Macaca fascicularis: one gene and its partners. The protein of the gene in region 2 purifies or fractionates together with the protein of the main gene of each other region. This does not show direct contact. Links are inferred from orthologs where the notes say so. Each region holds a gene or a part of one and is shown on either strand. Other genes may lie near its edges. The genes, in order: CANX, HSP90B1 and CALR.

Region 1 (4,336 bases), on a different chromosome or scaffold from region 2:
GGTGACAGAGGGAGACTCAGTCTCAAAAAAAAAAAAAAAAAAAAGTACATCTGTTGCAGTAACAAAGAATTCAACCAGGACTTTCCTGACAAGTTTCACCATAAGCTATATAGGCTATAACTGTGTTTAGGTACTTTCATTATTTCCTAGGCGTTATTATGAACTATGTATTCTATTTCCACAGTTCATTACACTTTTTTTTTTTTTTTTTCTGAGATGGAGTCTCACTCTGTCACCCAGGCTGGAGTGCAATGGCACCATCTCCACTCACTGCAACCTCCGCCTTTCAGGTTCAGTGATTCTCCTGCCTCAGCCTCCAGAGTAGCTAGAGGTTAATTTTTTTCTGTATTTTTAGTAGAGACAGGGTTTCACCATGTTGGCGAGGCTGGTCACCAACTCCTGGCCTCAAGTAATCTGCCCACCTTAGCCTCCCAAAGTGCTCGAACTACAGGCGTGAGAGCCACCGTGCCCAGCCAATTCATTACACTTTTTAAACTAGTTCCATGTTCATCGTTTTATCTGCCCCTCCCAATTGCCCCCTAAAGGTGAAGAACCCAGCAGACTTCGTATTCCTAAAGTTACGGAAACAAAAGTAGGACAAAAGCTACCGGTGGTGGCTCACGCCTGTAATCCCAGCACTCTGGGAGGCTGAGGCGGGTGGTTCACGAGGTCAGGAGATCGTGACCATCATGGCTAACACGGTGAAACTCCGTCTCTACTGAAAAATACAAAAAAATTAGCCGGGTGTGGTGGTGGGTGCCTGTAGTCTCAGCTACTCGGTAGGGTGAGGCAGGAGAATGGCGTGAACCCAGGAGGCAGAGCTTGCGGTGAGCCAAGATCGTGCCACTGCACTCCAGCCTGGGTGACAGAGCGAGACTCCGCCTCAAAAAGAAAAAAAAAGCTACCATACTGGGCCCACAATTCAAGTTTCATGAGCCTGCAATTCATGCTCACCAACTGCCACTTCATCCCCTTAAGCTGTCTTCCAGGGCAAAGAGAACTCTAACTACAAGGATGCAATAGTGTGATTGCCAAAACGGCAGCAACGACTTTTGTCAAAACATTTACCCCTTGTGGCCCTGAGAAGATAATGCGCTAAATGAACTGTGGAGTCAAGATAGTAAGGTGTGGGGGAATGCTGACACCCACCTGCAGCCAAGTCAGAAAATTTCTGTTGTGCAACACTGACCCCACACACAGTTCACTCGGGCATTCTCATGACCCAGTTACCTGGCTTGTTTGTGCACCCTGGTTGATGCAAAGAACTCCCACATAGTCCTTTACCTCTGCTCTAAGTATAATTACACCAAATGTACAACAGTTGATTAACATGGCAGTTGATTCTATTCATGACCCTCAAACAATATTGGGAAAAGACTGAGATACAGAATGATTTTAAAGATCAATAAAATTCTTCCCCCTTAAAAAAATCTAATTAAAAAATTAAGCAAAATATTCCATTTCCTAAATCAGAGGTAAAAAGACTTAACTATAGTTCATCTTGTCCTCTCAATCTTTTAATATTAAGCTCAGTTTAACTTCCCTCAACCAGCAATCACTTGTGTCATACCTAACAGTTAATACACAATGCCCAGTTTCTTCCATCACCATAACTGTGACTTCAGGTCCTGGGAAACAGGACTGAACCAGTTCACTAGGATGGCAGTGTATTGGTCCAAAGGCATTCAGATTATAATAATGTATTGCAGTAATTATAGGGCAGTTACTAAATGTCAGACTTCCCTTATTGTATACATATCTGAATGTAATCCTCACAGATCCATCAGGTATTATTATATCCATCACTTGACAAGAACGGGGGCACAAAGGGTAAGAAACCTGCCGAAGTTCACAGAGCAACAAATGACCAATGAAAGACTTGAGCCAGGGCCTTAACGTTAACCACTGCACTGCCTATCCCTGAACTATAATCCCAGCACCATCATTAAACTAATCGCATGACCTTGGGCCAGTCATTTCATACCTCTAGGCCTCCCCTGTAAAAACAGATGCATGAGATGAGTTTTCGGGTGCTTTCCTGCTTTTAACGCCCTGTCCATCTCCAACTGGATGACTCTCCTCCAGAATAGGTGCTGTAACTGTCAAGTTTCTCAACCACTGCGTGTTCTCCTTCTAGTACATTCCCCTTTCTCTTCAGGGAGCTAGGGTCCAGTCTACTCTTTGGATTTTCAAATACTAAACTGTAACGCTAATCCTAAACATTCCCCCTCGGTCTAACACCATCCTTCCCTACTGCTAGGGGTACCCAGCAGGCCCGATTCCACTCCACACTTTTACCCAGTTACTCCAGCCCACCTCGCGGCTGCCAGGCAGCAGGCAAAGAGGCCTAAGAAAGCCCTAGAAGCAAAGCCATAGGAATAAGTCAGCTTTCCCAGAGGTCAAGGAAGGCTGTAGGGCCACCTGCCACGCCTCCCGACCCCGGCCGCGCGGCCTGGGCCCGCTCCCCAACCAAAGAGGCCCGAATTCGGGCCTCCCCGCTCACCGCGGGCGCGTCGGACAGGGCCTGGGCCCTCAAGAGCCAGCCCGACCCCTCAGTCCCCGGCCACGCCCGACCCCTCAGCCGCAGAGGCGCTCCCAGCCCCCGGGGTCCTCACAGGCCCGAGGACGCACTCAGGTCTCCCGTCTCACCTCTAGCCTCCCGGGGACCGCGGGGCTGCCCGTGCCCCTTCCCGCCCGCACACCTGGCCCCGCGCCGCAGTAAAGACAGAGGCGGAGGCGGCCCGACCGTCACGTGCCGCAGAACCAACAGGCCTCGGACACCGCTGCCGCGCGAGCGAGCCCCACCGCACTAAGCCCGGCCCTGCGCCCGCCCCTGGCCCCTCAGTAGCCACAGCCGGCGCCAAGTCCCGCCCACCCGCGCAAGCCCCGACATCCGGTTGGCCGGCGTGGGCATCGCTCTACGCACCGTCCCATACGCCCCCTACGGCTATTCTTCGTGGAGTGTGACGATTGGTCGGGAGTGAGGCAGGAAGTGGCTGTTGGTTGGGCGGGAGGTGAGGGGCGGGCCACGCTGGATCGAGAGCGCCGGGCGCGCGCGTCCCGGGGCGGGGCTGGCTTAACAGGCGTTCCCGCGCTCGGTTGCCGTGGTGCCTTCGGGGGCGTTCCAACCCAACCCCCAGCGGCCCTCACCCGTCTGGTTGCTGGAGCCGAGACTTGGGACGCATCGCGCGCCCTTAGCTGACGGGGCAAACGGCAGCAGGCGGGAGGGGTGGGAGTGCGACGATCAGCCATCAAGGAGGGCCGGTTGCAGCGAACGCGGGCCCCTATGGGCGTGAGCAGAACGCAGCGCGGGCGCCTGGCCGGCCAGCCGTGCCCCGCTCCGCGCCGTGTGAGCCGGCGCCGCAGTTCCTGCAGAGTCATGGCTCGGCGCAGGAGCCTGCGCAGCCTCGTCGCCCAGCATAACACACAATCCAGAGTAACACAATCCGAGGTTATCTGAACTTTCAATTTATGTTTCCTGAAGTGAGATTAGGGGTCAGGGCAGAGGATGAGCCCTGAGATACAGGGATGACAGGATGAGAGAAGGCATGGTGCCGTGGAAAGATTTCAGATACGCCACCATTTTAGTAACCCACTCTTAGCACGTCTTCAGTTTTCAGTATGCTGAGAACCTCACAAAATGGAAGTGGCCCCGGGTTTTTCTAGACCTTTAGAGATCTTGATCTCTTGTCCTCTGTTTGGACACCCACAGGCTTGAAAACTTGGGTGGAAAACACTAGAATCAGCGGATGTATCACTGATCTCAAAGCCCTCTTGCCACCTGGAAGGGGAAGAAAGGCAGGGTTTGGTGTTTGCATGAGTTAGTATCATCCAACCCTCAGCTCCCCAATTTTTTATTTTTATTTTTATTTTTTGAGACGAAGTCTTGCTCTGTCGCTCAGGCTGGAGTGCAGTGGTGCGATCTTAGCTCACTACAACCTCCGCCTCCCGGGTTCAAGCGATTCTCCCTCAGCCTTCCGAGTCGCTTGGATTACACACGCCTGCCACCACGCCCGGCTAATTTTTGTATTTTTAGTAGAGATGGGTTTCACCATGTTGGCCAGGCTGGCCTCAGGTGATCAACCTGTTTCGCCCCTCCCAAAGTGCTGGGATTACAGGCATGAGCCAGGCGCCCTGCCCTCAGCCCCAAAATTTGTGTAGGAGAATTTTGGTTTCCTGTCTACCTGGGGAAGCAGCTATTCAAAGCAGAATAAAATTCTGGATGGTACACGATCCAAATAATGAGCTTAAAATGTAGTTACAGGGGCCGGGCACGGTGGCTCAAGCCTGTAATCCCAGCACTTTGGGAGGCTGAGACGGGAGGATCACGAGGTCA
Region 2 (3,630 bases):
GCAAGGAAACATAAATTTGGTAATTATTCCTAGGCATAGGATCTCACAATAAGTGTTTGATGTCGTAAGCAAGCTCTTTAAAGATTATATTAAAAGCCACTTAACAACATGATTTCATGTTTTACGGGTTTTGTGGTGGAAATCACACATCTACCTATGTAGGTGGTTCTTAATCTTTTTTTGTCATACAAAACCCTTGGCAAGCTGGTGAAGCCTACAGATGCCTTCTCGAAATAATTTTTTTTTTAAAAACCACATATTACAAAATACACAGCAATAAAAAGGAAACCAATTGTGTTTAAACAGCCAGAAAACTGTTTCAAACATTCTTGATTTTGTAATGTACTATTATATTAACCAAGAGCTAGGACGAATTTTAATAACTGCAGCAATTTTGAAGTAGTGATGAGCATAATAATTCAACTTAAGTAAAAATGGTGTGTTCTGGAAACCAATTACTCTCAAAGACCATCTTTACTGAGATATCAATCTCAAAGGTTCATAAATGTGATTTTACTTACGAGTAGGTCAATAAACCAGAAGTAGACGTATTATAGTTGGCCTAAAGGTCTTTTTTTGAATTTTCTCTCTGGGAAAAAATGGGAATGGACCATCTCATATTCAATGGTCACATACCATACACAATTAAACTAATAGGGTGATTCATTAATAACCAGAAGCTAGGGAATTATATTTACCTTTGAAAATGATTTGTAGAAAGCTTTGTATTCATCTTCTTCTACTTCTTTTGATGGTCTCTGCCATATTGGTTTGATATCATTCATAAGTTCCCAGTCCCAGACAGTTTTTTCAACCTGAAGTTATTATAGTATTTGATTAGTCTCTCTTAGCAGTCACCAAGGTTATCCGAGCAGTAACCATGGCTTCAGTAGATTTTAAAAGACTATGTAAAGCACCAGAGGCCCGGTGTGGTGGCTCACGCCTGTAATCCTAGCACTTTGGGAGGCTAGGGTAGGAGAACTATTTGAGCTTGGAGTTCAAGACCAGTCCAGGCAACATAGCAAGACCTCCATCTCTACAAAAAACTTTAAAAAATTAGCCAGTCATGGTGGTGTGTCTGTTGGTGGCATGTGTCTGTGGTCCTACCTAGTTGGGAGGCTGAGGTGAAAGGACTGCTTAAGCCTAGGAGTTCAAGGGTGAATGAAGGGAGCTACGATCATGCCACTGCACTCCAGCCGGAGTGGCAGAGACTCTGTCTCCAGATTAAAAAAAAAAACAACTCACTAAAGGATACCTGTTATCTGGGAAGGTTTCTGCCAACTGTATCAAAAGCAAAGTATTTTTCTCAATATTTAATTCAAAAAGATAATTGCTAATTGATGAAAAGCCAATTAAGGTTTTTTATTGTTATTTTTAACTAGCAAAAATGTTTCTTGAAAATATTTGTTTTGAGGTTAGAAGGAAATACATATTACATATTCGTATTTCATGACTTAAAGAAATCCAACATTTTACAAAATATTTCTCAACCACCATGACCAATACTTCTTACTCTGCTACCTAAGCAAGCCAGAGAACCATTTTTATAGTTAATCCCTACATGATAAAAAGACAAAAGAGGTCTCAGAAAGCTTTTTAAGATTTTAAAATTCCAAACATATAAGTCACCAGTCCCAGGCAATATATAAAAGTCAGAAAATTCTTCATAAAAATGACCTGGGTTTGATACTTAAAACTTTCTACAGGACAATGTACTCAACATACAAAGGTCTTATTTTAAAAGCTGGCTCCATGGACTTAGCACTGGAACTGAAGCTGACTTCAACTCAGCCAGTGCATACTTGGGTTTTCCTGGTTTTGCGTATACATGTTAAACGGTATCTTAGGCAGGGAGATGAACCAGACTTACTTTTTTAGTTTTTGGTTTCTTTTCTTCTTCTTCTTCCTCTACTGCAGCTTCATCATCAGATTCTTCTTTCTCTTCTTTTGCTGCTTCTTCTTCCTCCATGGGCTCCTCAACAGTTTCAGTCTGTTGAAATAAAAGAAGAATTATGGTTAAATCCATTTGTTTAACAATTCTGATTTTGTCTACAGAAATATGACATAACATTACAGCTCAAAAAAATAGGTTTTTGCAAGAAAACCCTGCGAGTATCCTTAACATTATAATAGACCACATTTTGCCTTCATTCTTTTTTTTTTTTTTTTTTTTTGGGAGACAGAGTCTTGCTTTGCTGCCCAGGTTGGAGTACAGTGGGGCAACCTCGGCTCACTGCAACCTCCGTCTCCCAGGTTCAAACAATTCTCTTGCCTCAGCCTCCTGAGTAGCGGGGATTACAGGCATGTGCTACCATACACCCAACTAATTTTTTTGTATTTTTAGTAGAGACAAGGTTTCACCATGTTGGCCAGGCTGGTCTCAAACTCCTGACCTCAGGTGATCCACCTGTCTCGGCCTCCCAAAGTGCTGGGATTACAAGCATGAGCCACCGCGCCAGCCCGCCTTCATTCTTTTAGTGTTGAATATTTAAACATGTTGCCAAGGTAATACATAGAAGTTTTTAGTCAATATAGATTTACCTTGCTGCTCCATACATAAATAGGAAAGTTTATGAACTGTGAATATTTTTTGACGAGATTTTTAATTGTATCCAATTCAAGGTAATCAGATGCTTCTTCTTTTAAGACAAGGCTGCAAGAAAAATTTGATGTTTAGAGACACCTAACATTTAGAAGATCCAATTATAAATTCATCTAAATACCATGGTAATAGCCAGCAGTTCAGTGTAATCCAAGATGTCCTAATTATTCGTGTTAACTCTCCATCACCAACAAGGGTTTGTGAGCTAAAATGTAACACATATACAGTAAAGAGAAGAATCTCCTCTACATTACCTCAAGTGGAGAATAACATTGTTTTAAGTAGAAAATTAAAATATCCTCAACCTTCTGAATAGATTGTTTGTTTTCATTTCTCAAGGTGAGAAAGCACTGAAATATTCTGGAGAAAAATGGAGTCATGCACTCTCGTAGCTCTTACTGTTATTCTAGAAACCTAATGAATATTGTAGATAACTATTCCTAATTAATGAAAACATTTTCCTTAGAAAAGCTAGCAAATTAATCTGGATTATTTATATTTATATCCGCACTATCCAAAATGGTAGCCACTGGGCACATGTGACTTATTTTTTAAAAATGTACAGTTCAGTTCCAGTTACGCTGCCACATTCCAAGTACTCAACAGTCACATGTGGCTAGTGGTTGCCAAAATGGAAAGTGCAGATATAGAACATTTCTACTATTACATAAAATTCTACCGGGCAGTGTGGGGATTACAGGTGTGAGCCACTGTGCCCAGCCTAGAACCCACTCAGTAAGTAGTCAGTCCATATCTTGATATTTGTGTTGCCAATTAAGTATGGGAAATGGTCTATATGTGGTTCCCTCCCTGTCTCAAAAGGCTCATTAGTTTAGTGGTACCTGGCCAGTAAGTAGCCATGATATGACAACAAAGCCTAGTGAGTGACTAGGCCGCTGGTCTCAGAGCACATGTTCTAGTGATTTGGGGATTAAGAGTTCAGTTTTGGATGCAAGTAGAAGCTGCTGGTTAGATATCTTAGGTAGAATCATTTAAAAGGCAATTAAACACATGAACACGGAGCCCAG
Region 3 (4,164 bases), on a different chromosome or scaffold from region 2:
TAGTCCCAGCTACTCGGGAGGCTGAGGCAGGAGAATGGCCTGAACCCGGGAGGCGGAGCTTGCAGTGAGCTGAGATCCGGCCACTGCACTCCAGCAAGGGGGACAGAGTGAGACTCCGTCTCAAAAAAAAAAAAAAAAATTGTAGAGATAGGGTCTCCTCACTACGTTGCCAAGCAAGGTTGTCTAACTCTTGGCCTCAAGCAATCCTCCTGCCTCAGTCTCCCAAAGTACTGTGATTATAAGGGTGAGCCACTGTGCCCAGCCCCAGCTAACTAAGTGGGTTACCTGACCACCTTCTAGTTCTTTGGGGGTATTTAAAGAAGTTGATTTGCATAAAAGTACTTGGGGAAGTACTTAGTTCACAAGAAGTACAACCTCAAAAGCATTGCTGTGAGGACTCCACAGGGACAGACCAGGAAGTACTGTTTACAAAAAGTACCATTTTTGAGTCAGACCCGCCTGGGGTGTGATCGTATCCTGTCACTTTCCCCTTGGGTGATCTTATGCACTTGAGGTACCCCAGGGATCCTCCTTTTTCCTCCAAGTCTCACCTGCCAGAGGTCCAGGCCCAGCACACCAAAGTTATCATAGGCATAGATACTGGGATCAGGAGAGTACTCGGGATTGTCAATTTCTGGGTGGATCCAAGTGCCCTTGTAATCTGGGTTGTCGATCTGCCGGGGCTTCCACTCACCCTGCAGAAGGAAGAAGGGAACTAGAGGGTGAGTAAGGTTGGTGCACTCCCCACTGTGAGCCCCAGCCCTGCTCAGAGCCCCAAACTCACCTTGTACTCAGGGTTCTGAATCACTGGGGGTTCCCACTCTCCATCCATCTCTTCATCCCAGTCCTCGGGTTTCTTAGCATCGGGGTCAGGGATATGCTCGGGCTTGTCCCAGTCCTGGAGGATAGATGAAGAGGTCAGAGTTGGCCCAAATGTCCTCACACCCTCCAATGTGGAGAGCAGAGCCCCCACCCAAACACCAACCTCAGGCTTGGAGTCTGTGGGATCATCGATCTTGGCCCGCTCATCCCAGTCTTCAGGTTTTGAAGCATCAGGATCCTTTATCTTCTTGGGTGGCAGGAAGTCCCAATCGTCTTCCAAGGAGCCCGACTCCACCTGGCTGTTGTCAATCTTCACCTCATAAGTGTTGTCTGGCCGCACAATCAGTGTGTACAGGTGTGTAAACTCGTCATCCTGAAGAAGGAAGAAGGTGAGCAGCCCCCCCTCAATCAGGCTGACCTCTGAACCTCCCCATGACACCCATTTGCCACCACCCCCAGGCACACCTTGCAACGGATGTCCTTGTTGATCAGCACGTTTTTGCCCTTGTAGTTGAAGATGACGTGAACCTTCTTGGTGCCGGGGCCACAGATATCAGGACCTAGGTGTGAAGCAGATCCAGTTAAAAGTCAGAGACTACCCACCATTTCGAGTTCCTCACCCCTCTTTACAAAAGGAAGACCTGGTTCCTAAACTCGGGTCTGTCAAGGCTGAAAAGAGAAACTCAGACCCTGATTCTGTCCTGAATGGGTTGTGGGTGAAGCCTTAAGTTTAAATTAAAAAAAAAAAATCAGTGCTCTAGAACTCAACATCCTCATTTGTAAGATTGGGAAATAACTATATACAATGACACAAATTAATTAACAGCCTAGATCTGCGATCATAACGCAATAAATTGTTGCTGTGACTTAATTATTTTAGCGCCCCTTCCAAAGACAATCATAACTATTAAGAAAGTCAATGGGGTCTGGGTCTCCCTCCAACTAATGGGACAGAGGTCAGCACCAGGAAGCAGCCCCTCACCAAACATGATGTTGTATTCTGAGTCTCCGTGCATGTCCGTCTGGTCCAAACTATTAGGAAACAGCTTCACATAACCGCCCCCACAGTCGATGTTCTGCTCATGTTTCACCGTGAACTGCACCACCAGCGTCTGGCCTTTGTTGCTGAAAGGCTCGAAACTGGCCGACAGAGCATAAAAGCGTGCATCCTGGCTTGTCTGCAAACCTGAGACGGGACGGTAGTGTGGTCACCGTTGGGTCCTGACCCGCGAGGATCCTCGATTTAGACGATACAGACGACTCCCCCACTTCCTCCACCTGCCCTGCTCCTAGGGGACTGTCCCGGCTGTGTATGTGCGGACAAGGACTTCTGCCAGGAAGTCCTCGCGGATCTGAGCACCCACTCCTAAGCTCTTACCTTTATCTTTCTCCTCGTCACCGTAGAACTTGCCGGAACTGAGGACGAATTTGCCAAAATCTGACTTGTGTTTGGATTCGATCCAGCGGGAAGTCCACCCGTCTAAGTGGGGGGTTAGAGAGTTAGGTCAGCGCGGCTCTGCTAATCCCCCCCACACCAAGTATCTGCGGAGAACCACAAGCTGCTGGGGACAGGGAAGGAGATCCCCGACTCTCCCCACCCCAACCTCTAGTTGACACGTCGGGTGCCTTCAGCGATCCTCGGGCGAACCCTAACTCCCGCCGCGGGAGGCCGCTACGCCTTCCGCGTTCCCCAGGGACGCAGAAGAGGGATCGCCCGCAGCTCCAGTCGCCGGGGACCACTGTGTTGGCCCTCTAAGCGGTAATTACGGGCGACGACGCAGATCCGAGATGGGGGGCCGGCCGCGTCGCCGGGACGGCCTCGAGGTGGGACCAGGCGTTACCTCCGTCCAGAAACTGCTCCTTGAAGTAGACGGCGGGCTCGGCGGCGGCCAAGCCGAGGAGGCCGAGCAGCAGCGGCACGGATAGCAGCATGGCGGGCCGAGGGGGCGGCGGCGCGCGGGCCCTTTAAAACGACCCTCCGGCGGCGGCTCTGCAGTACGGACGGACGCCGCCGCCCGCCTTGCATTTTTATACCCACCCGCCTCTCAAACCAACCTGACCCAGCCCTTGGGCCCGCCCCTGACACTTTATCATTGGCCTGCGCCCACGGCCGTCTCTTTCCATTGGACCTTCGTCAGTTCACTAGGTTAGGCTGCGCCTCGGAACGCTGGGTTCCCAGATGGCCGATTTCTATTGGCCTCACCACTGACCAATGATGGTCGACCACGCGTTGTGGGGGACGCCCACTGGTGGGGTGGGGGCCGCGAGCCCCTCAGGCCAGGTCATGTGACCAGACCTGAACCTAAGACCGCCCTTGCCCGTGCGCGTCGTTCCCCATCTGAGCGTTTAAAGAACCCGCGGGAGCGCAGGTGTTTCCACGCGGGATCGGGACCCCGCCTCAGCTTCTCTTCCTCCCGTTCCCTCTAGGTGGAGGGGCTGGGCAAGGCTTTCCTAGCCAGTTCTTATCTTGCATTTGGGAACCAGCACCCCACTGCTGCTCCCCAACCCCCGCCCAGGATAGGAGAGAGCTCATGGGTTGGGGCCCTGGGGCTACGCTGCACCCCGGTGCTACAGCCACGCGGGCCAGTGGGAAGAATGCCAGCCCTCTCCTCATTCTGCCCCTAGGGCCCTGGCAGCCTATCAGACTGCTGCTGTGTGACTGGGGCAAGTCACTTAACCTCTCTGAAGTGACAGACGTTCCTGAGCAGACAGAGGGGGTGACCCTGGCCAGGTGCTACCCAGCAGAAATGCTGTTAACGTTTTTAAAGCTGGCCTGGGACAAGAGGGGAGGAAGACTTAACGATGTGACTGTGACTCCTGGGGTGGGGATAGGGTTATTACCCAGATTGCAGCAGCCCCTTTACTCTCGTCTCAACCGGTAAATGAAGGAGGTCGCTGTCTGTGGTCTCCCACAAACGGCCTGGCTTTTGCAATTAAACGACTATAGGCGAGAGGGCAGGGGGTTCCGTTTGGGGAGGGAAAAAAGACACAGATGGTAGCGAAGATAAGGTGCTAGGGAGATGGGCAGGACCCCCCCACCCCACCCCAGTCTGGAGTCTTCTGAAGCCAGAGGCACGTGACTGGCACCAGTACCCTGCCCCCACGCTGTAGAAAGGAGATCTGGGGGTTTTCCAAACTCTGGGCAAATAAGCCCTGGACCTGGGAACACGGGAGTGGACTATGGAAGGAGGGAATGAGGGGGATCCAGGAAAGAGGGTGAGGAGGGGGTGCTTCCTGGCTAATGGTTGTGACTCAGAAAAGGGAGGAAGGAAAAAATGAAAAGGAAAACAAAGTGGAGTGGGGGAATGACTTGGCAAGGGTCTTTGGTTAAGAAAAGAAAAA

Evidence for each region.
Region 1: the proteins of HSP90B1 (region 2) and CANX purify together in Homo sapiens (affinity purification with mass spectrometry; 4 studies listed by BioGRID and IntAct, with this or other methods). This does not show direct contact. The link is inferred for Macaca fascicularis from reciprocal best matches to the Homo sapiens genes HSP90B1 and CANX.
Region 3: the proteins of HSP90B1 (region 2) and CALR fractionate together in Homo sapiens (co-fractionation; 4 studies listed by BioGRID, with this or other methods). This does not show direct contact. The link is inferred for Macaca fascicularis from reciprocal best matches to the Homo sapiens genes HSP90B1 and CALR.

The regions. Positions count from the first base shown.
Region 1 is NC_088380.1:186,570,563-186,574,898, reverse strand, and holds the start of CANX (calnexin), read right to left. Parts: upstream 2,818-4,336; 5' UTR 2,650-2,817; intron 719-2,649; 5' UTR 609-718; intron 1-608. UniProt on the Homo sapiens protein: Calcium-binding protein that interacts with newly synthesized monoglucosylated glycoproteins in the endoplasmic reticulum. It may act in assisting protein assembly and/or in the retention within the ER of unassembled protein subunits.
Region 2 is NC_088385.1:110,862,583-110,866,212, reverse strand, and holds part of HSP90B1 (endoplasmin), read right to left. Parts: intron 2,654-3,630; coding exon 2,542-2,653; intron 1,991-2,541; coding exon 1,871-1,990; intron 816-1,870; coding exon 699-815; intron 1-698.
Region 3 is NC_088393.1:13,336,082-13,340,245, reverse strand, and holds the start of CALR (calreticulin), read right to left. Parts: upstream 2,826-4,164; 5' UTR 2,755-2,825; coding exon 2,664-2,754; intron 2,303-2,663; coding exon 2,201-2,302; intron 2,009-2,200; coding exon 1,805-2,008; intron 1,383-1,804; coding exon 1,288-1,382; intron 1,196-1,287; coding exon 986-1,195; intron 899-985; coding exon 785-898; intron 696-784; coding exon 552-695; intron 1-551. UniProt on the Homo sapiens protein: Calcium-binding chaperone that promotes folding, oligomeric assembly and quality control in the endoplasmic reticulum (ER) via the calreticulin/calnexin cycle.